Linked DNA regions of Oryctolagus cuniculus. The protein of the gene in region 7 interacts with the protein of the main gene of each other region in a pairwise test. Links are inferred from orthologs where the notes say so. Each region holds a gene or a part of one and is shown on either strand. Other genes may lie near its edges.

Region 1 (4,379 bases), on a different chromosome or scaffold from region 7:
CCATAAAAGAGTAAAAAATATACCAGCAAGAGGTCAGGAGATATGAGACATACTGCGTAGAGTCAAAATGTTTTATAATTGAATGAAATAATCAATTCTTTCAAGTCTAGTAGATTCCTTTTCCAACACACACTCAAGTTTCTCATTACCCCACTCAGATTATAAAACAATTAAGATTCACAATTAGGAAACTGGGGCAAAACTGAAATACAAAGATAATCAGAAGATGTGGACTGTACTTAGCTCTGTACTTTTCTATCTACCAGATCTCCAGCAAATTACTGCCCCTCAGGGTAGCACGGTGGTGTAGTAACTTAGGCCTCCACGTGCGAAGCCAGCCGGCTTCCCATATGGGTGCCAGTTCACATCCCGGCTGCTCCACTTCTGATCCAGCTCCCTGTTAATGGCCTGGGAAAGCAATGGGGGATGGCCCAAGTGCTTGGGCCCCTGTAATCACATGGAAGACCCTGAGGAAGTTCCTGGCTCCTGGCTTCAGATCAGCCCAGCTCTGGCCATTGTGGTCATTTAGGGAGTAAAACCAGCGGATGGAAGACCTCTCTGCCTCTCCTTTATTCTGTAACTCTGCCTCTCAAATAAATAAATAAATATTAAATTAAAAAAAAAAAAAAGGCTGTTACATGCCAGGCCCATTAACAAAAAAAAAGTTACTGTCCCTCAAAGCCCTGGGACCAATGCAGCAGCATCATTACTGGCCAAGCCCCGTTTTACCCCTGCATCATAAAATGGGTTGTTTCTTCCTGTCCTCAGATTTCATTCCTAACCAGCAACAATCTTTACTTCTAGTGCCCTGTGCAATCATCTTTTGTAGGTTTTCCCATATTGAAAGTCAGTCTAACACATTTCACCTATCTTACAGCTGCATTCACAAAAACGCATTCAGTCCACTTCCTGAGCACTTGTGCCACACAACAGTATGCGCTGGAGCTGCAAAGGTGCCTTTCCTAAGAAGCCCAAGAACCTGCTGGAGACAGAGACATAGAAAAAACACTACCAACCAACAGACAGTGTATTATTGGATCGGTCGATAAAGAAGGATGAGATGTCTGGACAAGACGCAGGTAATATTTTGGTAAGGTGTTGAAGGGCAAGTTGTTTGCAAGGCAAAGAAGAATTCTCAACAGAGGGAGCAGTGCAAAACCACAAAGGAAGATGTCATCTTCTACAAACCGCAAGGAGTCCTGCACGGTGAGTGAGGGCAGGCAAACCAGAAGGTGGACCAAGCACCAGAAACTGAGAATAAAGACAACGGGAAACCACTGAAGGATTTCCAGTCATGAAATCACACTCCTGTTCTTCCTCCATACGTCAAAGGAGCTGGGTCAAGGCAACAAACGCAGGTCTGGCATAATGTTTAAAAACATTTAATGGAGATTTCCTGCCCTGAGGATGGCTTCTAGCACTTTCTTGGTACGGCATGTTAATACAAGACTGAAGGAAAACAGTATGAATTATGGCTAAAGGGTTCAATCAAGTGTGTATTTTTAGCCTAAAGATTATTTTAAGTTAGTGTTGTTGAGAACAGAAAATAGTAAAGTGATTTAATAAATGAAGGTAAGCAAGCAGTAATAAAACTGAGACTGACTTCAAGCAAAACATTCAGGAATGTTGACATCCTTATCCTGATCAGATAAGATGTTTTGCACCTATTATTTGCAAAAGAAAGATCTTAAATCCCTTTGCTTAAGGAGCTTCTATCTCCACTCTACTAACTAGTCTACTAGATGATATTTTTATTTTTTTTTAAATGACCAAATAGGTTCTATCAATAATTAGTTCAAGGCCAGGAGAAGAGGGATGCCTTTTCGAACGCCTGGATTTAAAAGCCTGAGGCTCCGTGTCTCTCACCTATAGGAGTGAAACACCAGCATTTCAATCTGGGGCCACGAAGAAGAGTCCGTGCATCAGTAATTTCCACACTGCGAAGGCCTAGTCTGGGGACAGCAAGCCTAATTGGCTGGGCAGCCTACAAAGATGAATTTGCAATTATTGAGACTGGAACTCAAGCCGACCACCTCAAAGAAGTCATTCCTGCTTTCACTTTGTCAAAAAAAAAAGTGGGTGCATTAAAAAAATGTATAAAAATAACATGTTTTAGGAGGAGAGAGAGAAAAACATCTGAACCTACAAGGGACGGTGGGATTTCCGCGCCTCTCCCCACCCCACCACGGCCCAAGTTTTATCTCCGATTAGATTTTAGGGTGCTTAGGGTGTGTCTTTGTTTTGGCCCATTTATTAACTGTTGTTAATAAATATCCGCTCATTCGGGGAACGCCGGTACTTTCCCCATTAACCCTCCCAAGCATCCTGGCTCTTGAAATCACCGGTCTCCGAGCCTTTCGCCGCGATTTCCCCGTAGAGCAAGGCGGCAGCCCCAGCTGCCCGAGGCCCGGGGCGCTGCCACAGCCCCGCGGGCCGGGGGGCGTCGGCCTCCCGGGTCCACGCCCGCCGGCCTCGAACGCTTCGCAGGGGGCTCGGCAGGGTCGCGCGGCAGAGCTGGAGGCCGCAGGGCGCCACCGCTTGCCCCCGGACGCCCGGGCCTCTACCGCCACCGCAGATCGGACCGCGCCCCCACAGTCCCCAGGCAGCCTCCGGCGCCCGCCCTGACCCCGGCCCCTACTCCAGCACTGACCCCGGCCACTCACCGTGCGGGGATCGTGCTGCCTCCTCAGCTGCGGGTCGCCCAGCGACCTGTGGGCCCGAGGACGGAAGGTGAGACGAGAGGCCGCCCGTCACATCGCCGCCGATCCCGCCGGCCGAGCCGCAGCACCCAGCATCGCGTCCGCGGCCTGAGGGAGCGCCGGACCCCAGAGCCACCGCGCCCCCTCCCTCGGCCTGCGCCCGCCTGGACTCCGCCCTCCAGGGCCCGCGCACCGCGCGCGCGCAGCCCCGCCCCCTCGAGAGACGCTGCGCACGCGCCAGCCCCAGGGCTCTAGGCCCCGCCTTCGGGCCCGCCCCTGCAGCCCAGCTCTGGCCTCGGCCCACCTGTGGCCCCGCCCCGCCCGCTCGCCAGCCTCTCCCAGGCTCCGCCCCCCACCTCAGGCCCCGCCCCGCTCCGCTGACCTTGCCTTTCTGCCCCCTGACTCAGGTCTTTGCTCGGCCCAACCCCCGCCGCCTACCCTGGCTGGTGCTGACCACACCTGTGGGAAGCTGCTCGGACGAACATTTGATGCTCGACCGCGGTGAAACCTGTCAGCTCGTGCGTCCTCCAGGCTCCGGAAAGTCAGGAGCGGTCTGAGCCCTGGGACTGACCGAGGCCGCTCAAGTGCCCCTGCCCGAACCACGCACGCAGCCTGCCGCCCCAACACCCTGGTTCCGGCTGAGGCTGAGGGAAAAGGGGCCTCAGCCCTGAGTGCTGACATTCAGAACCACGCAGTACCTCCGCGCGCCTGGGTTCCTTGTGCCAGGAACCGGCTCCCCTTTGGGGTTTCCATTCCCCCAAAGGCCACCCCTTCTCCTCCTCCCTTCCTCAGTGGCCGGACTTGATTTTGAGAGCTCTCTTGCTTGGAAACCTTATGCATCAGGGTGGCAGTTAGAGCCCTGGAAGCGCCTTCGTTTGTCGGCCCCAGCAGCTTGCTGCAATGAATAACATTTAAGGGGAATGTGTTGGAAAAATACCCACTTCTAACATGTCTCCACATGGGTTGTACATGTGGAGGTTGTACGTGGCCGGGGGATTTATAAACCCACATTTCATATAATAATATACTCATATATTTAGAAAAAAGCCTGACATTTTCTAGATCGACCTCTGTATGTAAAGACTGAATTTTTGGATAATAATATGTGTGCTTAATATGAGAAAAAAAAAGTAGGTCTAAAAGGCTCCACACTTTCAGGATTAAGTGAGATCGCTGCAAAAGCAAACGCCAGACAGAACTTGAGCGCATCCTTTAGATCAGCACTGGAGAGAGGCATTACTAAAATGCGTTTTGGGGTTTATGCCGTCTGCTGGATGGAGAGATGGTAAAGAAACGACTCCCCACAGCCTGTCCGCGGAGCTAAGGAAGGTGCTGCGTTCCCAGTAGCCTCCAGAGGAAGTGGGAAAGAAACATCAGCAGGAAGAGCTTTGCATCTCTGAACTGCTGGGTTGTCTCCGATGACTCCCTAAGTACTTGGCCTGTCATGTGAGCTCTCTGCAGTAGGCAAGTTCGAAGTCACCTTCTCTTCCTGCTCTACAAAGGTAGGCGGCTTCCTGGGTGCTTGTAGGAGTAGCCCCAGCTTCATCTAATTTTCTCTATGTCTATTTTGCCTTGGTCCCAATTTCCTCATTCCCTTGGTTGTCATTATGTCACATTGATTCTACTTCTGTTAGCCACTACTTTCTCTTTTCTTTTTTTTTTTTAAGGTTTATTTTATTT
Region 2 (3,597 bases), on a different chromosome or scaffold from region 7:
CTCTGCGGGTGAGTTCTGGACGTCACAGAGACTCCCGGCTTTCGCCTCTCCTGAGAGCCCCGAGATGCTGACTGACAGCCCCGATGGGCTCTGGGCCTGCTGGCCGGGCTCCGTGCTACCTTCACCTTCACTGAAGTTGCCGAGGCTGGGACTTGTGTTCTAGTTAAGAGGAGGGTCCAAGGAGAACGTCTTACTGGCTGGTGTCTGGGGATGTGTTAGACTGCGTAGGAGGGATGGTTTTGTTTGAAAATATTTGGGACGTGGCAGAGTGACTGTTTCCCCGTCAGCACAGAAGTCCGGTTTCTGTCTCCTGGTGACTCCGGCTGGGGCCCTGCACAGCTGTGCGTCTGAAGTGGCAGCATCGTCGCAGCACAGAGCGAGCACTGTGCAGGTGTGAGGGGCTGCGAGACCCTCCCCGGGCCCCAGTGCGAGTGTCGCGTCAGGTCAGGTCCCGCCTGGGGAGGCAGCAGACCAAGTTCTGACCCGCACTCTGCTATGTCCACCTCCCTGTCTGGAAGAGAGGAGGAGGAGCTGTTCTGAGGAGGTGGAGTGGTGGGGTAGCGGGTGGCACGGAGCCCATCTGCACGTCCCCACCCTTGACAGAGCAGCCGAAGGTGTCAGAGATCTGGGAACAGGTGCGTGGTGCCCGACCTACAGCGGGTAATCCTGCTGATACAATCTTGTGTGCTCATCTTTAACTTACAGGGATGTTTCATTATTGAGAGATTGAATAGGTGTTCTTTGCTTTGTAGTCTTTACGGAGGAAAATTTTGTTGATAATATGTTCTGTTTATAATCATGATTTTATTTTTAGAGGATTTTATTCATTTATTTGAAACTCAGAGTTACAGAGAGAGGGAGAGAAAGACAGTGAGAGTGAGACTGAGAGAGAGAGACTGGGAGAGAGATCAAGAGATCTTGCATCTGCTGGTTCACTCCCCAGATGGCCACAATGGCCAGGACTGGCCCAGGCCAAAGCCAGGAGCCAGGAGCTTCTTCTGGGTCTCCCATGTGGGTGGCGAGGGCCCAAGCACTTGGGGCATCTTCTGCTGCTTTCCCAGGCCGTTGGATCAGACTCGAGTTGGCACCCATAAAGGATGCTGGCTTCTCAGATGCCAGCCTTAACTGCTACACCACAGCACCAGCCCCGGGATGTTTTCTTAGAGACTTGGTCTAAGGTGTGAGTTGGTATTGATGGATTCCACGTATGTATGAGAGTGTTTTCCTGACCTAACGTCTGAAGTGTTTGCGTAAAAAGAATCAGCCAATCCCAGCACATGACCTGATGTTTCCCTGTGAGCACAGGACGGGAGGGGCCGCTCCATCCTAACTGGCTCTGTGAGCACAGGACGGGAGGGGCCGCTCCATCCTAACTGGCCCTGTGAACACAGGAACAGTTTTCCTGGGGGTGTTGGGTGTGCTGTGCACTGCACGCCTCACCTCCATCCCCGTATTTCACCGGGGTGTGTTCCCAATGAGTTTGGCCCCACGTGGAGTTTTGTGTTCCAGATGGTCTCCCGGGAGGCGGGAGTGTTTTGGTCCTTGCCCACCTGCTCTGCCTGTCTGGGATGAAATCTGCCCTCTGGAGGGCCCTGGGTCGCAGCGGCAGCAGCAGCGTGTCAGAGCTGGAGCAGTGATGAGATGCTCTGTGGGAGGAAGGGAGGAATGCCCTTGCTGTGGGCCAGTGAGCGAGGCCGGCGCTGCGGCACAGCAGGTAAAGCCACTGCCTGCGATGCCGGCATCCAATGTGGGTGCCGGTTCATGTCCCAGCGGCTGCTCTTTTGATCCAGCTCCCTGCTGTGGCCTGGGAAAGCAGCGGAAGATGCCCAAGTGCTTGGGCCCCTGCACCTGCGTGGGAGACCGGGAAGAAGCTCCTGGCCTGGCCCTGGCTGTTGTGGCCACTTTGGGAGTGCACGAATCCATCTCTTCCTCTCTCTCTGTACCTCTGCCTTTCAAAAAAGAAAACAAAAAAAGCCTTGAGGCATTTTCAGATGTTACAGATGTGAATAATTCTAAAATGTGATTTTGTTTTGTAGTCAACAAGCTCCGGGGAAATATCTAAAAAGTTGTCAGACGCATCTTCGAAAGACCCCAAAGCCGAAACAGAGGTAGACGTTCAAGGACAGCAAGGGGAAAGGGGGGGTTGTGGTGAGGGGAGTGCTGTGTGCTGGCAGGTCCACTTCTCTGTGTTGTCCTGGTAATGGCGTGGGGGTCACCGGCTGCCAAAACAGAAGGCCGATTATCTGCCGGCACTCCTGGGTGACTGCTATTTTCTCTGAATTGGGCTGTTGAAGCATGGTGTGTGAACTCTTCCTGTGAGAGCTGTTTGCAGATGCATTTCACCAGTGTAACAGCCACGGGACCCTTTAACGCGATTTGCCCAGGGACAGACTGCATATCCCGCAGTGGCCCTGTGAGGTTATTGTGCCGTCGTGGTTTGGGGAAGTCCCCTCCGCGATGTTCACACCAGCACACCGCCTGGCTCTGGCGCCGTGTCCCTGTGAGGCGAAGTGCTCCTGCGCCTGCAGGGTGTGGTGCTGGGGCCTCTGGGAGCAGGGCTGAGGGCTCTGCAGAGAGAGCGCAGGGAGGGGTCCCGCTCGGCCTCCAGTGCCTCCCTGCACCGTCGGAGGCCGGGGGGCACCGGGGCTGTGTTTCAGGCTGCTGCTTCCCCGAGCAGAGCCTGAAGAAGCTCTGGGCTCACTGTGTAACCATCCGTTGATTTTCTTTCGTTCTCTTTTCTTTAAGACTGAGGTTTCCACTCGAGCACCCAAGTCGTTGACATCAAAGCTGTCGAAACGGCAATCCAGAAATTCAGTGGAAGGTACGCTTGACTTGCTCTACTCGTGTGAGAAGCTAGAAATATGTCTAGCCCTGCCTCTGTCAACAGTCTAGCTGGAAGAAACTCCCATGGCTGGGGCGCGCATCGGCCACGTCTGGGAAGAAGCAGTGACCGTGGGAAGCATGGGGTTTGTGATTCACACGCACGTGCATGCGTGTGCACACATGTGCATGCTCACAACACTGGGGCGGAGTCAGCCCTCTTTGCTGGAAACGTGGGTGATTGGAGAGGGTGGGATCCAGGTTCATGGTCCAGAAACACCGGTGAGCCGTGCGGGGTTCCTTGGCCCCCATCTGCGGCAGCGGCAGCGGCAGGCTGTGGTCCATCAGGGCAGGCTGATGTGGGAGCTGGTAGGCAGATGATGTTTCTGCACCGAAAACAGAAAGCACGGCGGGGCGCCCTGCCCGGGGTCTGCCGGGAGCCGCTCGGGCCAGCGGACGAGAGAGGCTGCAGACACGGCCTGAGCGCGGCGGGCAGGTGCGGGCCGCGCTGTGGAGCCGCTGGTGTGGAGGCCGACGTGAGTGATGTTTGAGTGGTGGTGGCTTCTGGAAAGTCCTCCTCTCCCTCCCTGTGGTCGCTGTCGTGAAACACGCGTGCTGAGCTCACCGTGCGTGTGCCAGAAGCCCCTGCCCTGTGGGGCCCAGGGCGGGCCTGGGAGCTTGCAGCCACCGGCTGTCCCTCTGCCTCGCGCCTCCTCCAGAGAGGAAACATGGAAAATTTAATCACTGGGGAAGTTGCGCATTTGCTCGCCTGTCTTC
Region 3 (4,105 bases), on a different chromosome or scaffold from region 7:
TTCTTTTTTTTTTTCATGCAGAAGATTGCAGGGAATGTCTCGCAGCTCCTGCGTCTAGCTGCGTCTGGGGTGTGGCCGTGTCTCAGCTATGGAGCAGGCACAGAGGAGCTGCCCACCCATCACCCAGCCGGGGCGGACCGCAGAGGCCCGGCCCGGTTCTGCTGCAGAGCCCAGCACCTCGACGCTTCTTCCAAGAGGGCTGCTCCTTCCTGGGCCTGACTGCACGGGCATGAGCTGGGGTCGTCCCCCGGGGCAGCCCCCCAGCTGCCCCCGCGCCAGGGCAGGGACCCCAGCCCGCAGACGGCTAGGGCAGTGAGCCCCAGAGATTGGGGGACGCGCCTATCCTGTCCCTCCTCAGCCGCTGGGAGGCAGGGTCCACACCGCCGAGCCCGCGTCTGCGGACCCGAGCCCCCAGGTCACGCTGGCCCCGGAGGGGGCAGTACCCGCCCTGGGGAGCGAGCCGGGGGATGGGAGCCCTCTGCCTCTCCCTCTCTGTCGCTCCGCCTTTCAAATAAACGTGATTTTTTAAAGACTATCTACCTCATAAAATAACTGCAACGGCTAGAAAAATAAAACCAGAATCTTAGCCTGGTGCCTGGCACACAAGCAAAGCTCAATTCGTTGCAGGGGAAGAAGCGTCAAGCCCAGGTACGCGACGGACGCGAGCCGTGAGGAGCCATCAGGCCCCCGAATCCGTCGGCTTCGTTTTTCCCGGTCTGGATCTGGCCTCCGCCTCTGCCCACCCCCTCCAGCCCCCGGGACCCCCAAACCACGCTCCCCTTCGCGACGCCCCCGGCCTCCGCCCCGGGAGGAAGCGGGGCTCGGGTGACCTCAGCATCCCCGGCCACACTGCGGCAGCCGCCCGCGCCCCGCCCTTCGCCGCAGTCCCGCAAGGGCTCCCGGGGGCACGGGGCGCGGTGCAGATGCTCCGCCGGGCCGGATTGGAGGACGCGGGCTGCGGCGAGGGCGCCGCCCGGCCCGCCGGGGCGGGGGCGGCGGCTCCACTGCGCCACCGCCCCCGCCCCCCGCGCGCGCCCCAGTTCCCCATCCCCCAGGGACCCGCCCCCGCTCGCCCCGTCTCCCCCACCCCGCCCCCCGCATCGCCGCTTCGGCTGCTTCCGGGAGCGCTCGGCCCTCTCCGCCGGCCGCTCGGGCGGCGAGCCGGCGGGAGCTCCGCCCCCTCGCGCCGCGCAGGGCGCTTCCCCCGCGCTCGCGCCCGCCCGCCGCGGGAGCGCGCGTTTCCGCCTATAAAAGGGGCGGGGCACGCGCGTCGTCGCCACTACCGGACCGGAGGCCGCGGAGCCGCTTGGGTCCCTCAGCGCCTCAGCAGCCGTCAGCGCGCCGCGCCCACGCCCCTCGCCCCCGACCAGGAGCCGGTGAGAAGGGCCGCGGGGACGCTCGGGGCGGGAGCGGGGCCCCGGGCGGCCGACCCCGGGGCGGGGGCCGCGCAGCCCCCGGGCGGGGCGGGGCGGCGCGCGGACAGGTGAGCCGGGCCGGCCTCGCCGCTCGCTCCGGCCGCCGCCTTTGCGGCGCGCGTGGGCCGAGCCCGGGCGCCGGCGCTGGAATGTCACGGCCGGGGGGAGGGGGCGCGCTGGGCCCCTCCCCGCCCTCGCCCTGCGCCCGGCCGCGGCCCGGCGCTGCCCCATCCGGCCTCGGCAGGTAGCTGGGGGCTCCCTGGTCCGGGTCCGGCCACCGCCTCCTTGCGGGGCGCCCCCACCGCACCCCACCGCATCGCCCCGACCCCTTTCCTGGCTGGGGAGCGGCTTGAGCGGATCCCCACCAGCAGTGCCAGCCCAACCCTCGAGGGAGGCAGGGCCCGCGGCCCGGGGCTCTCCGACCTCGGTTTTATCCTTCTTGGCAATTCTGGACCCTGTCTGGGCGAGGGCGAGGTGGCGGCCTCCTCTTTCCCTGTAATGGACATTTCCCTCCCCAGTTGGGATTCGCTGGCAAATAATGGGGAGATGTTGCACTGGCTTGGTTTGAGACCCGAATCAAATAATAGGTTACAGGCCGCCCCCTCCCCTTTCATTTTTTTCTGAGACGGAGTCTTTCAGGGGGGGAGGGCAGAATATTAATTTGTTAAAAACCCTACGACCAGGCTAGCGCGGAATGACAGAGCAGTCTTTTGTTTGAAAACCATCCTGCGAGTTCGCTAAGACGCTTCCCAAAGAAAATTGCTTTTCAAAGCCTCGTGTATGGGAATAAAATGTATTTTAGATATGGGGCTTGTCAAAGGTGGGAGATGAATACGTTTCTGCTTTATTTCTGAGAAGTCTGCACAGCCCAGAAAGCTGGGGCGGGGCGATGGGCGCGCTGCTGCAGACCTCTGATCTCTTATATAATAGACCCTAAAATACTCAGTCCCTTTGTTCTGGCTTCATCATGGAATTTCAGAAAAACTTGCCATCATGGCTGTCAGGAAGAATAGAGGGAGACCATCTGAAGTATTTCCATGTGTTGAGAAATTGCGTCGTCATAGCAATTGGACTCAAGTGAGACAGAACGCATCGAAGATGGAAGAGGGGGTGCCGCAGCCAGGCGACGCGGACCTGAAGACTGGCGGCCAACGCTGGGCTGTGCGGAGCCCCCAGCCGGGCTTCCCGCTTCTGGAACCGGGCTTAATTCCCTTTCCTGACAGCCGATGTCTTCCATGTTGAAAACTCACCTCGAAGTCAAAGTTTAAAAGACGTGCGGCAGGGTGAAAAAAAAAATGCCGCCCGCCACCAGGGCCTCTGTATAGGAAATGAACAGCAAGCCTTTACTAGTAACTGGGCTGGGAATTCCCCAGAGGGACCCTCGAAGTGTGTCACCTGCTCTCCAGGGACCCACGCATTTGCTGTGGACTAGACAGGGGAAGCAGTCCTGGGGGTAGGCTGGGGCCTGGTAACTGGCTCCCTGATAGGCTTTTGGTCTTGGCAGTGTGTTTCCTCGGAATCTAGTAATTGGAGGAATCTGATATGTTGCAGGCTGCGATCTGACGGGGAGGCGGAGGTGGGGTGAGCGGTTGAAGTGGATCCTTCGGTTCCCTGGGTTAGGATTCTCCTTCCTTGCCTTCGTCCCGGGGTGGGGTTGGCTGCAGATCCCGAGGGAGAAGTCCTCAGGAATAGTCCCCGTCCTGTGGCTGCTGGACCTGCACGTAGGGCAGCGGGCCCCAGGGCGCCTGCCTTTACAGTCAGTCTTCTGTGGCCGTGGGAGGCCTCCAGCAGTCACGCAGCCGGGTTTGCGTCTGCCCATCAGCTGTGGCCGAGCAGTGGAAGAATGCGGCGCCCTGGTGGCCCTGCTGACTCCAGGAATGTGTTGGAGGACCCAGACCGCATAGCTGATCACTTGAGCCACTTGACTGGAGCAGCTGGGCCGTGAACCGTCCCCTCCCTTCCACCTGCTTTGCATATTCCTCCTGCACCAGTTTTGAACAGGAAATAGTATTTTGTCAAAGGCGTGTGCCAGCCAGGCCCAAGGCAGTGCGCTGCGGCTCCAGTCCTTAGTTTCTGATGATTTCATGAAATCAATGAAGGGATTTAGGAATCCAGTCCTGGGGTTCTCAATTAATTTATCAGAATGTGGGTCAAGGGGAGGGCATGTTTAGTTTTAAAAGTTTATTCACAAAAGAATAAAAAATATATCAATTCACGCCTGTCAGGCTTCCTCCACCCGACAATAAACCTTGCCTCTAAAAAGTATGTTCAGTATTATTACTCTGACAAGTGAGAGAACAGGCTCAAAAGAGGGAACGACTTGGCTACAGTAACACATTTATTTATTTATTTTGGATATTTATTACTTATTTGAAAGGCAGAATTAGAGGCAGAGGCAGAGAGAAAGTCGTCTTCCATTTGCTGGTTCACTCCCCAAATGGCTGCAACGGCTGGAGCTGTGCCGATCTGGAGCCAGGAGCTTCTTCCAGGTTTCTCACATGGGTGCAGGGGCCCAGGGACTTGGGCCTTCCGCTGCTTTCTCAGGCCATAGCAGAGAGCTGGATCAGGAGTGGGACTTGAACCAGCGCCCGTATGGGATGCCAGCACTGCAGGCAGCAGCTTTGCCTGCTACACCACAGCCGGCCCCAGCACATTTAGATAGAAAATGAAGTGCCGAGACCTAGAGCCTT
Region 4 (4,394 bases), on a different chromosome or scaffold from region 7:
GCGAGCTTCTATACAAGCTGGCTACTGTCGCTCCCCCTCTTCGCGGAAGAACGACACAGGACCCTGCGCTGTTCTTTCGTCTGCTCGGCCCTCCCCGGGTTTGCTGCTGGTTCTTCCCGGGTTGGCTGCTGGTTCTTCCCGGGTTGGCTACCGTCCCTTCCACCTCCGTGGAAGGGCGGTGCCCCCTGCCACTTTCCCCACTTCCGCGGGGGAGCGGCACACCGCCCGCCCGGCTCTCTCGGGGGCTTCTCAGGTGTTCCTCTTAGATGTTCCTGGTGCATCTTGTCTCTCTCCTCCTTTATAGTCCTCTTCCACCAATCCCAACTCTGCTACCCACATGCCGAGCACGCTGCTCTCCTCCAATCAGGAGCAGGTCCTACTGTTTATTGGTTGAACTGGAGGCAGCTGTGTAAAAGTTGTTTTTACTCCTCTCCCAGCGCCATATTGTGGGAGAGCAGATGCGTAGAATAAGTCTTAATTCGAGTAACTTAGTCTAGTCCGAGTTGCTCCCCACAGGCTACAAGTAATTTCCAACTCAGAGCTAAGCTTTTTGAAAAGAAACCGTGTTTTTACTTCTCCCACTGCTGTTCATGCAAACTGAATTCAGTGTGTTGCTTGACTGGATTATATGATTGATCCATTGGTTTACCATTGGATTAAGAACTTGACATTTGCCTCAGTTACTCACGGACACCCCCAGTTTCCTTGGGTTTCTTAGGCCCTGTGACTTCCTGGAGTTGATTTGACTGGGATGATCAATAAGGCATGAGATTGTGGAGAGACACAAACTGTGACTTGGGTGACCAAGTAAGTTTCTCTATCAGGACCGGGCACGTGAGCAGGAAGCTGGAATCTGGAGTGGAGCCGGGACTCGACCCAGGTTCGTGATGTAAGGACAGAAAAGCGGGACAACGAGGAGACAGAACAAGGACTCACAGCTAGAATAGGTTTATTCAGAGACAGACCAGAGAGGGGCTCCCTCCTGGTGAGCGTGCAACAGAGAGCCACCTGGGAACACACAGCAGGGAGGGAGTGGGCCCGCACAGACTGGTGGCTTATATAGCTTAGTGGATGGGACGGCTTGGGAGGAGCTTGGCTGGGCTGGGCTTCTGAGATAGTGGCTAGAGCTTGGGCTGGAGGCAGCTCCCTCGAGAGGGGTGTGGCTGGTGAGGGTCTTAGAGTGGGGGGAGCTGGGGCTAATGGCTGGACCCTTAAGATGGGGTTTGGCCGACGGTCCTAGCAGGGCAGGGCTGAGTGAGCTGAAGGGGACCGCAGGGAATTGGGGTACTGCTGCCAAGCGCGCAGGTGACAGGCGAAAATAGCTCTAAGGCTTTTGTTTCTGACCGCTGTGCCAAAATTCTGATGCAAATAAGAAGCGAGAGGCTCTTCACGTGGCTCAGCAGCTTTCACCGGAGCCCAGGGAAAGTGCTCTGCAGGGCCAGCGGCGCGGGCCCGGGGCCCTGAGCGCGGCATCTGGGCGGCACTAGGACCGGGAGCGGGGCCGCCCCGCGCCGCACGCCCGGGGCGGGGCTCAGCTGTGCGGGAAGCCGGGGCCGGGCTGCCCGGCCCGCCCCTGGAGGCGGACCCCACTTGACTTAAACTCCGGGGCCGGGAGGCGGCCGCGTTCCCCTGCCTGCCTGCCTGCCGGCCGGGGCTGTCCTCCGCGTCCGCGGTAAGTGGGCGGCCGGGTACCGCGCGGAGCCTCGCTCGCCTCCCGGGGACGGCCAGGCGGGGCGCCGCGGGCCGGGGCCGGGCGCGCTGGCAGCCGCGGGCTTTTGTTCTGCGGCGCGGAGCGAGCGGCGGCCGCGGGCAGCTCCAGGCCCGGCCCCCAGCCCTCCGCGCCCTCGGGCCGCCGCCCGCCGCGGTCGCTGCCCGTCGGGGACGCAGGGGCGGCGGGGCCGGAGAGGACACCGAGCCCCGGGCGCGGGGCGGGGCCCGGGCGGGCGCACGCGGTGTCGCGTCGCGGCGGACCGCTCTCTGTCGCTGGAGTGGAAGAGTGGGGAGAAGAAAAAAGGACCAAAAAACCCCCCACACCTTTGTTTTCCTTTCTGTGTGTCCCCGCCCCTGTGCAGCCGAACCCGGGGCGCGGGCGCTCGGCTCGCGCGTGCAGGCGACCGTGGGCGCGCCCGTGCGGAGGAGCCGGGGTCCCCGTGCGCGAGTTCGCGCCTCGGGCAGCTGGGGCGGCGTCCCGCGGGATGCGCGCTCCCCGGGGACTCGCTCGGTGGGCCTCGAGCGCCTGCCTGCAGGAGGGAAAGCAGGTGATGTGAGTCTGCTCGCCGCACGAGCCGCTCGGCAGCTGCGGGTTTCTGCAGAGCGTGTTGACTCTCAATCAGGATGGAGTTGCACTGAGTGACGTTCCTCCCTGCCCCCTCCAGCCCCGGTAGTCGCGTTCCCTTTCATTAATGCCAAAGGAACATCGCTGAGATGGGACGTTTCTGCTCCGAACTGAGGGAACCCGGAGAAGTGTATGCATTGTAACCTAAGGGAATGGCGTTTTGAGCCCAGATCTGGCTTCTGTCCCGTTCTAGCACCCTTAAGAATGCAGTGTGTTTACTGTGCTTTCAGGGCAACCTTAAGGGACACAGCTGCACAGTCATGTGTCATGTCAGGCAAACGCGTTAGCTAGCGGGTCCTGCCACTCATCACACAGTGATTTTTTTTTTTTTTTTTTTGCTCTCCCTAGAACCAAAGAAGTGTAGATACTGTGTGCACTTAGACTGGCACGTTTGCAGGGCAATGGAAACAAGCTTACTAGAGAAGAGTTCTAGTTGAAGGTAAGTGTGATTTAATCCCCTGACCCTTCCCTTTCAGCGAGTAATTTATCTGTTGTGGAATAAAATGATTAACTCCAGATCAACACCGGTTGAAAATTAACCACAGGACACAATGGGGGTGGTGTTACAGCTGCAGAAGGAACGGGGTAGTTGGTGTGGTGCTGAGGATCCAGCCCTTCATCGCGGCCCCAGAAGGAAGGGGTTGCTGGGGCGGTGGAGTGAGTGGTGGGGGAACCAGTCCTGTGCAGGCCGAGTGATGGTCTCTGGGCATCCACCCTGCAACCCCTTGCTGTGCCACCTTGGGAAGATTGGCCCCTAACTGTGTTCTCATCTGTAAGAGAACAGTAGCACCTACCTCATGGGATTACTGAGACAAGGCACGTGGGTTTCATACACAGAACACGCTTAGAACAGGTCCTGGCACGTAGTAAATGCTCTGTCCATCTTCACTGTCCTCATCATGGGCAGTGTCCCGCCATCTGACAAGCTTACACTATCTTGCAGGAAATTCAGTGCACTCATTTTTACCAGATTCTTGAGCTGTGTGTTGATTAAGCAATCACTGTAGATCCTGCGGGGTCTTTTTATTGGAGGGGGAGGTGGTCCTTCTGTTAGGAAACACCAATCACTTGTTGGCCACAGAAGGTTTTGCCTGCAGCCCTGTTGGAAGCACAGAGTGCCCGCCTTGTGTTCTGTGGAGGTTGGCTTTTTCTGGTTACTTTCTGGATTATCAGCGGTTTATTTCAGGAGCTCTTGCTTAGGGAACTGATCTAGTCCTGTTTCTTTAAAGGTAAATTTCAAGAATCTTTGTTTTGTCTAACCAGGCCAGCTCCCCACCCCCAACTATTCAAGAAGACACAGAAAGCATTCGGTTTGAGATAAAGGAAGAGTCTCTGACCAGCCCTGGCCATAGAAATGCAAGTTAAAGTTTCAGTGAAGAATCCTTGAAAGGAGGAGGAAGTAGTCTAAGGAACCTTGAGAAATTCCAAGAGCATTGTTGTGGGCGGCCCTGCCCTAAGTACTTGCAAATGCTGGGCGCTGGGGGAGGCTGGCCTGCAGAGGCTAGTGTGTCAGTGAGACCAGAACCACGCTTTTGCTGCTCTGTTCGAAGCCTCCCAGAATCTGATGACAACTTAGATTCTCCTGGGATGGATCGGATTACAAGGCTTCATTTATAAATAAACTCTTGTGGTTAAAATTGCAAAGTGTGTTTAAAGAAATTGTATTGTCCAATTAAGTGTTAAGAAACAAAGTATAGTCAGATGGTGTGTGCGTTTTTTTTTTTTTTGGGGGGGGGGGTAAGCCCCAAGGGAGAATTTATTAGGTTACGTAATTTTGAAGTTGTGAATGGAACCAGAATGTGAATCTGAAAGTCTTAAAGACTTTGAACAGAACAGTATCTGTGGCCTCTGCAGAGATGTCAGTAGATCCCACAGCCCTCCCTCCACTGGGCGGTACTGCCCTCTCCAGATGTGTATCTAATCAGCTGCAGGCAGCCTGGAGCAGGGCAAACAGCCGCCGGCTCCACTCTCCACTCTGTGCTTGAGGGTATCTGTGCTCTAACAGGGATGTGCTGAATTTTTTTTTTAAAAAGACTGAGAGATTTCATACAGCATGCAT
Region 5 (4,168 bases), on a different chromosome or scaffold from region 7:
CCGGTTCTAGTCCCGGCTACTCCTCTTCTGATCCAGCTCCCTGCTGTGGCCTGGGGTAGTGGTAGAGGATGGCCCGGGTCCTTGGACCCCTGCACCCACGTGGGAGACCCCAAGGAAGCTCCTGGCTCCTGGTTTCGGATTGGCGCAGCTCTGGCCGTTGCGGACATCTGGGGAGTGAACCAGCAATGGCAGACCTTTCTCTCTCTGTCTCTACCTCTCTGTAACTCTTTCAAATAAATAAAATAAATCTTAAAAAAAATTGTTAAAAATTCCTCTTACCTTCGATCTATACATTTTGACTAATTTTAGCCTCCGAAGAAGGTCCTCTTTTTCCTGAACCTGCTTCACCAATTTTGCTCTTTCTTCCTTCAGTCCTTGTATAGGAAGATTCTCCTTCATGAAGTCATTTTGGAGAACACTGCATGACCCTGTATCAAGTGAGGTAGCTTCACATGCACTGACGTTCTGGAATGTATTTTTCAAATGCGTACTTTCTTCAAGTTCACTGTCTATGCGTTTAAAACTTTCTTGAAATTCCAAACAGTTTTCTTCTGTGGCAGAGGGTGGCTTCTCTGACAAGTTCTGATCATTTTCTTCATTGTCAACTTTAAGACGTTTTACCACACTGTAACAGGAATTAAATGAAAATCTTGTTTTCCTTAATCTTTCTCTAAGTGTTGCACTCATAGGCTGAAAGGAGAACAAAATATTAAAAATGTTAACCAAGTCTTCATGTAAAGAAATGTGCTAGAAATAAAAGCCTTACATTTCTATAGTAGACACCACTAGGGGGCTTTCTGTCTCCACATATCTAAAGTAACCATCACAAAATGTCTTTAATTTCCAGAAGTTCCATTAATTTTCCTCTCTACCTCAGCCAGGTCAACACCCTTCTAAAGTCATCCCAATAATCAAACTTCTCTCAGCATCTAGCCCATACCTCCTGCTACACCAGATGCTATAGGATAGCAGACTGAGGAAAGACCCACTGCCACCAAAGTCCTTCACCGTGATAATACCGCAGATCCAGACTTCCTCACTTTGGAGTGTTGCAATAATCTAATCCGAAACTAAATGAATTGGCTCAGTATGCAAATCTGGAAGGGGCTGGTCACACACTGTATCTTAGAAGAAACTAAATGACTATTTAACAAAATATCTGCACGTTAATGAACAATCTTTGGAGTTAAACCCCGCCGATACTTAAGACTGAATAAGATCTCCGTACTTGTTTTCCTGAGCTCCTTGCAAGGGAAGATGGCGGATTCGCACAGGCCTGTGGGGTGCTAGGTGCAATCACCGCTGAGTCTGATGGGCTTTCCATCTTGAAAATGAAATCTTGGGTTACCTCTAGAACCAGAAAAAGTAATTATGAAATGGGACTCAAAATAACCATACCTTTCTAAAGTCCTCCATTTTTATCCAAGTATTTCTTTATTGGGCCAGCAGTTTTTTGTTTTTTGTTTTTTCTTCTAATTTGTTAGTTAATTCTCGCTATTTTTGGAGTTTTTCACTTACCTTCCCACACAAGGACAACTAGTTTTTTCATGACAAATTAACCTACTAGTATCTCATAGAAACGAGACTTGTTAGCCATGAAGTATCTTCCAAGTCTCCATTACGGGGGCAAGGGAGAATAACAACTTTAGATAGTGATTCTTTCGTTGTGACAGCTTCATAATTAAGAGACATGGCCTAAGTGGGCTCAAAAGGCATAATCGGACCTGAACTTGTCAATCATCCCGAACCCTAAAAGCCGCTTGACTAGAACCAGGCGTTAAGAAACAAGAAAATATAAAGAAAAAAAAAAATCACGCCTGTCTGCACTTTCAGAGTAAAAGCGAACAGACACTGAAGAGGGAAGTCGACTGAAGCTGTCCCTTCCAACTCGGTGGGGTAGAACCAGAGAGGCGGCCACTCCCCTTTCCCCCATGCAGGGAGCCCGCCGGCCCTCCAGACACCCCAGGCCTGAGGGAGGGTCGAGGGCCCCCGACTGCGGAAAGGAACCTCTACCTGGCTTTTCAGCAAGCCCCCGAAGCCCAGCACTCAGACACCCCCCTGGGCCGAAGCACGCTACCGCCCTCCGCCAACCCCACAGCATTCAAACACCGCGCGGAGCCGCGGCCGTCAGCCGATGCAGCTCCAAGGGGCGGGGCCGCACGGGAGCGGAAGAGACTCCTGATTGGCTAGATTGATGCGCGCGAATCCGCGTGTCCGGAGACCCCTAGAGCGCGCGACCGCGAGCTTCCGCCAGGGAAGGTCATGTGGCGGGGCGGGGCCGAGTCGCGTGATTGGCAAGGTTGACGGGAACGCGCTGCCTCGCCCCGCCCGGCGTCCGGTCTGGCTCCGGAGTCGGGCTGAGAGCTTCGGGAGTAACTCATGGATCCTGAGGGGGCGCGCTGGCGTCCGCGGCGGCCCTTCCCGCTTCCTTGTTTCTGTGCGTCTGTGAAGTGCGCTCGCTTGTGTCCCCAGCTTCCGTTCTCCAGGCTCCAGCCCGTCTGGTCTGCGCTCACCTCAGCAAAGACTGTTTTCAGACGTGGCGGGGCCGAACGCCGCCCGGCTGGCTAGGAACTCAAGTCACAACTCTCAAGACCACGGAAGAGCAGCGTTGGGTTCCAGCCCTTGGGGAACAGGCTTGAGAGAAATCGACCCAGGGGTGCCGACACAGTCGGCCGAGCGGATCCCTAGCCCTCTGCTGCCACAAACTCGGTTTTCCAAGTTTTTTTAAATTCAAATATGAAGGGAGAGGAAGGCCAGCGCCACTTGTGGCGCAGTACAGGAAGCGCAATGCCCTATCCAGAACTCCGACGCTTCAGACAGAAGTGGCCGCGGCCGAGCGCAGGCCGAAAACCCCCTCGGCTTCCGGTGTGGCGCGGCTGTTGCTAGGCAACGGCGCCCGCCGCTCCGGGTGGGGCAGCCGAGCCGGCGCGGCGCTGAGCGACTTCTGACTCACGTGGAATCCGGGAAGTGTCCGGGCGGTGCGCTCAGTCCTCTTACGGAAGGGCCGTTGTAAACGGTGACACCGTCTCAACGACGTGATAAAAATGGCCCGGAAATAGCCAAAAGGAAATTTGAATCCTAAGCAAGCCAAGTATAAATAAAGAGCCCAAAGACAATCTAATGCAGTGATTAGCGGACGTAACCGCCCAAGTCACATTGTCGAACTCCACATCCCGGCGCTGTATTCTGTGTGCTTTCTACTGTGGTGTCCGTGTGCCTCGGTTTCCTGATCTGAAAATCGGGACAATTCCTGCCTCCTAGAGACTGGAGGATTAAATGGGAGCTCAGGAGAGGCAGCCACAGCAGTGCCAGGTAACTAAGAAGCGCTCACTGTTCTTTCATACGTGCAAATGCATTAATTAACCATCCCCAAACTGATTTAAAGGACTGCGTTACGTGAACTTTCATCCCTTTACTTAACTCTGCCCCCCAAAACAGAGATTTAAAAAATAAAGATGCCGTGATCTGTAAGATCCCACACGATTTAAACCATAAGTAGAAAACTTGCACATATAATTTATAGTATGTTATACCTCTAAATTTTTCAAAAATTATATAAATAGGGGCTGGTACTGTGGCGTATGGGTAAAGCCGCTGTCTGCAATGCCGGCATCCCATATGGGCACTGGTTCGAGTCCCGGACACTCCACTGCAGATCCAGCTGTCTGCTGTGGCCTGGAAAAGCAGTGGAAGATGGCCCAAGTCCTTGGGCCCCTGCACCACTTGGGAGACCTGGAAGGAGCTCCTGGCTCCTGGCTTCCGACCGGTGCAGCTCTGACCATTGCAGCCAATTGGCAATTGGGGAGTGAACCAGCAGATGGAAGAACTCGCTCTCGCCCTCTCTCTCTCTCTGCTTCTCCTTCTCTCTCTAACTCTTTCAAATAAATAAAAATCTTTAAAAATTATATAAATGTACAAAGTGAAAGCAAGAACTCATGCTGTTGTGATACAGTTATTCATCCCCCCAAGCTACAGGTCTCAAGTCTGTGCAATTATTTCTCCCTTCACTTATCCACTGGCACCAATTAGTCTCACTGCAAAACAGAACAGAATGATTTGTCCTGACACTGGCAGCACAATGCAGACTCTGCATGTTCTCTATTCCTCGAGGCATAAGGGTGAGTTGTTTTTATGAGTCCCTAAAACCAGCTGCTTTTATCATTACAAC
Region 6 (4,130 bases), on a different chromosome or scaffold from region 7:
GGGAGTTATGAGAAAAATATTTGACTAAATACACAGAATATAAAGTATAGTCATTCTAAAGACACTACATTGTGGGGCTGGTGCTGTGGCATAGTAGGCTAAGCCTCTGCCTGTGGTGCCAGCATCACATATGGGCTCTGGTTCTTGTCCCTGCTGCTCCTCTTCCAGTCCAGCTCTCTGCTATGGCCTGGGAAAGCAATAGAAGATGGGTCCCTGCACCCGCGTGGAAGACCCGGAAGAAGCTCCTGGCTCCTGCTTTCTGATCGGCCCAGCTCCCACCATTGCAGCCATTTGGGGAGTGAACCAGTGGATGGAAGACCTCTCTTGCCCTCTCTGTCTGTAAAGCTACCTCTCAAAAAATAAATTTAAAAAAAATCTTAAAAATATCCTGTTGTATCTGAATAATTTTTATGCCAACAAATGACATCAGCATTATTAAAAACACCTAAAAAGTTCCCATTTCAAGATAAAAAAATTATCAGAACATTCTGTAGTTTTTCCAGAAGACGCAAATGGAGAAATGAAAAAACCTAAAGAGCAAGGCACTATATAAAGACCCAGGACTTTCCTCATCCATTAACTAAATATTTTCATATTTCCTAGGACTGGCGTCAAAGCGATGTTCTGAAATGGGAAAGATGTCTGAGTAACTCGGAAGTGGGGTGGCGGAGAGCTGGACAACCCTTATCCAAGGTTAGGTTTTGGTTTGTCACAGCTAATCCTGCCCCTCCGATTGCTGAAGCCGGTGTTGCTGGCTCCACTTTTCAGACGAGCACTCTGAGATTCAGCACGGGTATTACCCACGCTGACGAGACAGCCAAGATTCCGGCCCAACTCGAGTCCGGCTCCCTTAATACCAGCGCCCATAATGGTCTTTGTTATTAATTCACACAGACTGAATGGCGATGGATGAAAGACGCTGAGGGGACATCGGTGGGGGCTTCCGGGACAGCCGCTGCGCCCCTCCCCGGGGGCAGGTGGAGGCGCTGCCCTCCTTGGAATCGCAGCGGCGCTTTTTGGGAACAGTCGTCTGTCAGACCCTGCACTCCGCTGAGGACCTCACTTCTTAGCAGAACCCCACTGGGTGGGGGCTATTATTACTACTCTGTATTACAGGTTGGGAAACTGAGCCGCAGATAAGCTGTTCTCTTCCTCCTGCGTACTCGACTAGCGAAACGCTCAATAAAGCGCTAGTTCGCGACGCTTTCTCCGGACCGGCTACTCTGCAAGGCCACACACAACCCGTCTGCACCCCCACCGCCGAGTGACGTCACGATGACCAACCCCACCGCGACGCCGGGCCGGCCGCCGCTGCGGATGTCTCGCGAGAGCCATGGCTTCCTCCAGCCTGACTTGGACATGCGCGCGGCGCACGGCGCTACGGCCACAGCAGTTTGATGGTTTTCTGTCAGTCTGTACACTAGAGCTTTGAGAAAGCACTTCTAACCTTTCAGCCTCCCGAGATATCGCGAGACTTGCTATTCTGCCACCGCCCCCCCCGCCACCTCCTTGCGCCTGCGCAGATCTCTTCAAAGCAGAAGGTCGCGCTTGGAGGAAGTGGCGGCTTTGGGTCCCGTGACCGGAGCGCCGTTACTACTTTTCTGAAGCTCCTCTCGGCCGCTTGCCGAGACCACCTGTCGCCAAGATGCCTCGAATTATGATCAAGGGCGGCGTGTGGAGAAATACCGAGGTGAGTCTCTTTTCCCGCCGTCCGCTGCCCTCCGCCCCCTCCGGCAGCTTGTGCGCACGCGCGCGCGCGGGGGCCGGGGAGCGGACGAGGATGCCCTGCGGGGTCTGCGTGGGGTGGGCCGGGCCGCGCAGCGCCAGGGCCGACGACCCTCGGCGCCTCAGCGCTGTTCCCCGCCAGGGGTGACGGGAGCGCCCCAAGGACCGGCGGCTCGGCTCCGAGCTCACCGTCAGGCACTTGTTAGGCCCTTAGCGAACATTTGTTGAGTCGAGGCCGCGCCGCCCCGGCCCCCTTTCCCCGAGGTCCCCACTGGGTGGCAGGAGGGGTGGGACATCCAGGAGAGGTGATCTTCCGGGACGCTACCCCCCCTCAGCTCGCGGCTGTCTCTGGCACCCCAAAACTAAAGAACTTGGTGCAGCCACAACTTTGTTTCTTCGCTGACTTCTTGCAGAGAGGGGAAGCAGCTTGCATACCGAGTTCTCGGCGCCCGTTTCTCCTGCATCCGTCGGTTTATCCGTCAGCCAGGCACAGCCTGTGCGCGCTCTCCCGACAGATGCCAAGGCCTGTCTCTCTCTTAGCTTCCCGTCTCTCCGCCTTGGCATGGCTTGAAGCCAGATAGGACAGACTGCTGCGGGTAGTGTCGTAGTGGATCGTGCCATCTGAGAGCCGGAGAGCAGTAGAAAGGGAGCAAGACAGAAATGAGATTTGAGTGCGTTTCGTGTCGAGTGCCCTGGATCGATCAGTTTCTGAGCACGGCTTATCTCGTGTCTTTTATTACCTCTGTGCCTCCTTGCGGTATCCTCGACCCGCTTGGCATCCTCCTGACCTGGTTCAGAAGCCCTTGGCGGCCAAATCTTCGCCTGTTCAGCCTGTGAGCGTTGGTAGCACCCCCCTGTGGGCCCACGGTGCCTGTCATCCACTTGTTGTCGGCTTGCTTTGACTTTTGCCAGTGTCACATCCTTGGGAGTGATGCTGGCAGGTTTCTCCATTTCTCCAAGCCTTAGATTCCTCATGTTTCTGTGGGGATTAAGTGAGCTGCCACATTTGGGACATTTGGAACAGTCGGGAACACAGTAGCCTTTCAGCCAGTGCTAGGCACCTCTTACCTCTCCAGACAGCACTGGGGGAGGGGAGGGGAACAGGTCCTGCTCTTCCTGGAGCACAGGAGAGTAACCAGCGTGAAGTAGTAGGTTGCTTGGCAGATGTTTGTGGAATGCATCTCGGCGGGTACGCGGGACGTAGCTGTGATCTAAGTATTAGAGGTGCAGCACCACGTGACAGATGAAGGCAGTGCAAGTCCCCTCCCTTGTGCTGAGGGAACTAGGCTGTTTGAATGGAGAGGAGTTGACTTGTGAGGGAGAGACCCGTGAAAAAATCAAGTAGTAGCAGGATTCCTGTGCTACGGTCAAATCTGCTGACAGATTTCTACAGTTGGCTGTGGAACAGAGCCTGCAAGTGAAATGTCTCAAGTGCATTCACATCTGGCTCCATCGTCCTCCGCGCCAGTGGCTTGGCTTGCCAGGCTGCTCTGGGATTGGTACATTCCGTGTTTGGGTGGCAGCCCTGGTGAAATAGTATCTAGAGTCTGGGGGAGACTGGAGAGAGATGACTTGGGAGGGGTTGTGGAGAGAAATATTTGAATCTCAGGTTAGAACTGAGATATGGTCTAATCTGAGATGTGGATTCTTGGGTCGTGGTGGGGCGGATGGGGCTGGGGAGGAAAGGCCGTGCTTGAACTGGAGGCAGGAAGTGTGAATTGGAGAGTGGTTTCATCTGAGTCCCAACTTGCTTTTTGAGGCCTGGATGTGTCCTATTCGATTCTCTCCCCAAGTATACAAGACCTGGTGCAAGGCAAGTGTTCAGGAAGTGTTTTCTGAGTGAAGGTGTAAATGAATGAGCTGTGCCTGCTTGAAGAATGACAGCCACATATTGGAGAATACTTTTTGTTAATCTCTGTCCGAAAGTAGGGTTGCTCAGAGGTGGTTGTTCCCACACACAATTGGGTGTGTGTTTATAAGGAACAGTAAGATGTCCTAAGGAATTTCTTAATTTCTTGCATTTTGCTGGTTGCTTACTGTTTATCATTATGGTCAGTGAGGTTTTTTGTGTGTTTAAAAATTCTTATTTCTTAAGTACATTTGAAATATTTATTTTTTTAAAAGATTTATTTTTTATTTGTTTGAAAGAGCGATGGGGGTAGGGAGGTGGCAGGGAGAAGAGATCTTCCATTTGCTGGTTCACGCTAGGCCAGGAGCCAGGAACTCCATCTAGGTCTCCCATGTGGGTGGCAGGGGCCCAAGCACTGGGGCTGTCTTGCACTGCCTTCTGAGGCACATTTAGCAGGGTGCTGGATTAGAAGTGGAGCAGGTGGGACCTGAACTGATGCTCCAAGATACAAGATTCCAGCATTGCAAATAGAGGCTTAATCTGCTATACCACAATG
Region 7 (4,281 bases):
TTGAGACATCCATGTGGAAATACGGTGGCGAGACAGTGGAAATAAGTCTGGAACTTGGGGAGGGAGTCTAGACCTATGAAATTCAGTTATTTGCTAACTTTGGGGACACAGGTAAACAGAAGATAATGAACAGGACCAAAAATCACATGTAATTATCCTATGGAATGTTCACAATGGTGTTCTGTACCAAGCAGGAAGGACTTCTTAGATCGGCCTCGATCCTACTCTTAAGAGGGAATCAATCTGATCAAAGAGAAAAGCATTCAGGTACATTGTAAACAAATACTGAAATACATTTAGCCCATCTCTGTCCTGGCTTCCTCGGCGACTCCAGCCCCAGCACAGGGAGTGACTCCCTTGTTCACATTCCTCTTTGTCTGGTCCTGCCACATTGTGAACTCTTTCAGAACAGGATTCATGTCTAAACCACCTCTGCACCTGGAGTCAAGAATATGGACTAGGGGCCGGTGCTGTGGTGTAGCTGGTAAAGCTGCCGTCTACGGTGCCGGCATGCAGCTTCAAGTCCCAGCTGCTCCACTTCCCATCCAGCTCCCTGCTAATGGCCTGGGAAAGCAGTGGAAGATGGCCCAAGTCCTTGGGCCCCTGAACCCCCAAGGGAGACCCAAATGAAGCTCCTGGCTCCTGGCTTTGGATCGGCCAAGCTGGACATTGCAGCCATTTGGAGACTGATCAACGGTTGGAAGACCTCACTCTCTGTCTCTGTCTCTCTGTCCCCATAACTCTTTCAAAAGAATAAATGAATCAAAAAATGGAATAATTCAATTTCCTGATTCCCAGCCAGCAACACTAGCATCATCCCTGACCCTCAGTCTTATATGTCGTAAGCATCATCCCAACTGCAGATTCTGCTCGAGTAGATCTGAAATGAGCCCCCGAACGATGCCCTGGTAGCTGCTCCGTGGACCACACTTGGAGTATCGAGGTCACAAGCATGATGGTTCTTAACGTCAGTGGCGTATTAGACACATCTAGGAAGATATTCAAAGTATTATTGCCTTTTGGCAAAGATCAAGTGCGAAGTACTGTGTCTGGATCCCAACCCCGAGTTTATGATTTAACTCATTTAAATCTCCAAGATGTAAGCAGCAAGGGTCTACAGTCAACAGTTTTACATATAAAGAAACCAGTCGGGTTGCTTTTTAAGCGAATTGTTGTGAATATCAGAATAAACAGCTCGTGTAGGGTTGTTAAACGCAGGGCAGCAGATGTCAGTCCCCGTGGGGCAGAAGCCCCGCCCCGCCCCGCCCTCCGGCGAGGCCCCGCCCAGCCCCTCCGGCGAGGCCCCGCCCCCGGCCGGCGTTCCCCGGTCGCTCCTTGGATCCCGCCACTTCTCTTTCCGCCTCTAGACATCCACTTCCGGCGCAGAACGGGTCACGTGCCCGGATATGGGAAGCGGTGAGGAGCGGCCGCTTCCCGTTCACCGGTTAATTGAGGGGCACAGCCTGGGAGCGGTGGTCGCAGCGGCCGCACCCCGCTTCCGTCTGGGAGGACCCGCCGCGGCACAGCTGGGCTCGGTCCGGCCTTGCGGTAAGCCTCTGGCCGCGGCTGCCCAGCAGGCCCGGCGGCGGCGGCGGCGGCGGCGCCGGACCCGAGAGCGGACGGGCAGCCGCCGCCCACTCGGCGGTCAGGCCCCGCTCCCCGGGTCCCGCAGGCTGCGGAGCGGGGAGGGCGGCGCTCGCTCGTCCCGCTGCGGCCCCGCCCCTCGCGGCCAGGTTTGTGCAGACCGGCGGTGCTCGCGCTGTCCACGGCGTCGCCCCGCGGAGGAGGGCGTGACACCGCCCTTCCGCTGGCCAAGTCCACTCCCCCCACCCCGAGTCTGTTAAATGCATTCCCCTGTTTCCGTGCACGGTCTCCTGTGGATGACCGTGCTCCGTGCCCGAAACGTCCCAACCCACACGCGCCTTTAGGGTCACCGGCTGTCGGCCAGCGCGCCGAGAGGGTCCCAGCGGGTTTAAAAAACAAGAGCGACACGCAGTTAGGCAGTGGCGGGCTGCCTCTGGAGCGTAGCAGCCGCGGGTCCCCGGGCCGGGACAGGGCGGACCTGTTGTTGAGTGGCTTACAGAAAAGCGCTCCAAGGACTGGCCCCCTGAGCGCGCACCTGCGTGACGGGAGCCGCCGCTGGGGCCCAGAACAGCCTGGCCCTGGGTAGGCATCAGTAAGTGCCGAGTGATGTCCAGCCGCCTCATGTGCCCGGTGCTCAGCCCTAGCTGTTGCCGGGAGGGTGACTTTGGCCGCTGTGAGTGGTTCTTTGGACCGGTTTTTCCTCTTCAGGTTCCCTCGAGAGGTGTTAAGTACCTGCTTAGTACTCACATCTAGTTGAGCGTGTCTCTCTCTAAGAGGGTTGGAGAGCCAGGAGCTGCTGATCCCCGCCAATGCTCAGTGGTTTAGTCCGTGCAGCAGGTGCACGGCGAGATGAGTCCGGATTCAAATCACCATTGAATGAGCGTCATGTAAACCGTGTGGTGGTGTTAGGGTTTGGGTAGGGAGGAGATGATGTTTCCCGCATGGGGAAGTGCCGAAGCAGAGGTTTAGAGCCCAAAATGAACAGAGTGCTTCCAAGTGGATGCTTTGTATTAGGAAAATGCTGAACAAGGGTGTGGTGTGATGAGATCTACCCCCCCCCCCAGTTATATGGTTGTTATTCAGGGTTGTGGGTGCTTGCAAAGAGATACCCAGATGCTGTGCTGTTGAACAGGTAGAAGTGGGTGTGGGCCTGGGTTCCTGTGTGCATGGCGGGGACATAAAGGAAGGAATGTACCTGTAGATGGGGGGAAGCCCCAGAATGTGGCAGCAGGTTTCTTGTTGACCATGGAGGAAGGACTCAGGACGTTCTGAACACGACATTTGCTGAACGAAGGCGGGGGGGTCTTGAGGAAGCTAAAGCTGCTGGTTATTTGGTGCTCTCGTGTTAGTTATTAAATGCCTGCTGGGTGCCTTTTGCCAAAAGTTCTAGGAATACAAAGGTGAATGAGAAACGGTCCTTGCCAACCAGAAACTGTTTCTGATGGGAGAGGCTGATACCAGCAGTCAGAAAAGACGATCCGAAGCGCGCTGTGTGCAGGGTGGGGGGATGTTGGAGACCTAGAAAGGGAAGTATGCTTCGGGAAACACTGCTTCCCGGAAGAGGTGACACTCTAGCAGGATCCTAAGGAGTGAGTTGCAATCTCTGGGGAGAGGGAATTCCAGGAAAAGGAAATTGCGTGAACGGAAGCCCAGAGATAGAAAAGTAGACCGGGGCGGAGAGTGGAGTAGCCCCTTTAACAGTGTCTAGGCCTTGGAATGTACGAAGGGATCGGCAGCATGGATGCTGCGTTTTGAGTGGGATGGGTGAATGGTTAGAGAGATGGAAGAGGAAGAATTGGGGAGAATTGTACCTCGTGGCTTCTCTTTTCTGCAGAGTAGGCAGTGAAGTCCTATGCAGAGAGGGAGGAGGCTGACAATACGGTTGCAGGCTGAAAGACGATAATAAGGATTTGTAAACAGTAGTGATGCAATAAATGTATTAAAGAATTGCTGAGCTGCCTTCAAAGTCCAGTTTTAGCTGGATCTGTTAGAAACGAATGCAATGCACGTGGGTATATGGCTTTGAAACATAGAATCTTATAGCTCAAGAGAAGTAGAGGAAAAACATGTAGGTTTTTCAAGGTTTCTTGATAAAATAGGATAGCCAGTCTACCAAGAGGGTAAAATAAGAAAGAGGATAGTGTGGGTACTGGGAGATGAACATTGCCTGTAGCCTGGCTTGGGGGCCAGATAGACAAGAATAATGGGAGGGAGGGTGGGAGAGTGAGGAGACCTGAGGCTGAGATGAGCTGAAAGAGGAACAGAAATGCAAAGATGGCATTCTGGGGTCGTGTTATAAAAAGGCGTTATAAATCGTATATATAAAACTCACAGTTTCTTCATTTTCCCATAAAAAATGGTGTTACTAGCAGAAATTAATGTCCGAGGCAAGCTCACATTTGCATTGGAAAATACTGATATATAGCCATACAAACATGTCCCTTATGCTTGAAAAATGAAATTGAGACGTTTTTAAAAAATAGTTTAAATTGACATTTGAAAAAGACACCGATTTATGTGAGAAAAGGGAAATAAGTGGCAGCCTACTTTTGTTACAGCTTTATTGAGATAATTTGCATATCATAAAATTCAGCCTTTTCAAATATATAATTCTGTGTCCTTTAGTGTATTCACAAGATTGTACTCTTTGAACGATCACTGCTGTCTAATTCAAGGACATCTTATCACCCGGAAAGC

What was found.
Region 1: the proteins of EXOC1 (region 7) and CCSER2 interact in a two-hybrid assay, tested with the Homo sapiens proteins (2 studies listed by BioGRID and IntAct). The link is inferred for Oryctolagus cuniculus from reciprocal best matches to the Homo sapiens genes EXOC1 and CCSER2.
Region 2: the proteins of EXOC1 (region 7) and TRAF3IP1 interact in a two-hybrid assay, tested with the Homo sapiens proteins (2 studies listed by BioGRID and IntAct). The link is inferred for Oryctolagus cuniculus from reciprocal best matches to the Homo sapiens genes EXOC1 and TRAF3IP1.
Region 3: the proteins of EXOC1 (region 7) and SPTAN1 interact in a two-hybrid assay, tested with the Homo sapiens proteins (2 studies listed by BioGRID and IntAct). The link is inferred for Oryctolagus cuniculus from reciprocal best matches to the Homo sapiens genes EXOC1 and SPTAN1.
Region 4: the proteins of EXOC1 (region 7) and RESF1 interact in a two-hybrid assay, tested with the Homo sapiens proteins (2 studies listed by BioGRID and IntAct). The link is inferred for Oryctolagus cuniculus from reciprocal best matches to the Homo sapiens genes EXOC1 and RESF1.
Region 5: the proteins of EXOC1 (region 7) and SFR1 interact in a two-hybrid assay, tested with the Homo sapiens proteins (2 studies listed by BioGRID and IntAct). The link is inferred for Oryctolagus cuniculus from reciprocal best matches to the Homo sapiens genes EXOC1 and SFR1.
Region 6: the proteins of EXOC1 (region 7) and CDC5L interact in a two-hybrid assay, tested with the Homo sapiens proteins (2 studies listed by BioGRID and IntAct). The link is inferred for Oryctolagus cuniculus from reciprocal best matches to the Homo sapiens genes EXOC1 and CDC5L.

Annotation. Positions count from the first base shown.
Region 1 is NC_091446.1:74,659,934-74,664,312, reverse strand, and holds the start of CCSER2 (serine-rich coiled-coil domain-containing protein 2), read right to left. Parts: upstream 2,898-4,379; 5' UTR 2,664-2,897; intron 1,985-2,663; 5' UTR 1,867-1,984; intron 1-1,866. UniProt on the Homo sapiens protein: Microtubule-binding protein which might play a role in microtubule bundling.
Region 2 is NC_091434.1:2,077,761-2,081,357, reverse strand, and holds part of TRAF3IP1 (TRAF3-interacting protein 1), read left to right. Parts: intron 1-2,036; coding exon 2,037-2,108; intron 2,109-2,745; coding exon 2,746-2,821; intron 2,822-3,597.
Region 3 is NC_091432.1:231,818,489-231,822,593, forward strand, and holds the start of SPTAN1 (spectrin alpha chain, non-erythrocytic 1), read left to right. Parts: upstream 1-1,224; 5' UTR 1,225-1,376; intron 1,377-4,105. UniProt on the Homo sapiens protein: Fodrin, which seems to be involved in secretion, interacts with calmodulin in a calcium-dependent manner and is thus candidate for the calcium-dependent movement of the cytoskeleton at the membrane.
Region 4 is NC_091440.1:128,140,528-128,144,921, forward strand, and holds the start of RESF1 (retroelement silencing factor 1), read left to right. Parts: upstream 1-1,521; 5' UTR 1,522-1,672; intron 1,673-2,683; 5' UTR 2,684-2,774; intron 2,775-4,394. UniProt on the Homo sapiens protein: Plays a role in the regulation of imprinted gene expression, regulates repressive epigenetic modifications associated with SETDB1.
Region 5 is NC_091446.1:25,895,503-25,899,670, forward strand, and holds the start of SFR1 (swi5-dependent recombination DNA repair protein 1 homolog), read right to left. Parts: upstream 2,880-4,168; 5' UTR 2,102-2,879; coding exon 2,014-2,101; intron 2,008-2,013; exon of another isoform or gene 1,550-2,007; coding exon of another isoform or gene 1,519-1,549; intron 1,351-1,518; coding exon 1,229-1,350; intron 691-1,228; coding exon 280-690; intron 1-279. UniProt on the Homo sapiens protein: Component of the SWI5-SFR1 complex, a complex required for double-strand break repair via homologous recombination. Acts as a transcriptional modulator for ESR1.
Region 6 is NC_091436.1:125,737,813-125,741,942, reverse strand, and holds the start of CDC5L (cell division cycle 5-like protein), read left to right. Parts: upstream 1-1,307; 5' UTR 1,308-1,645; coding exon 1,646-1,690; intron 1,691-4,130.
Region 7 is NC_091439.1:108,641,409-108,645,689, reverse strand, and holds the start of EXOC1 (exocyst complex component 1), read left to right. Parts: upstream 1-1,408; 5' UTR 1,409-1,548; intron 1,549-1,698; exon of another isoform or gene 1,699-1,733; intron 1,734-4,281.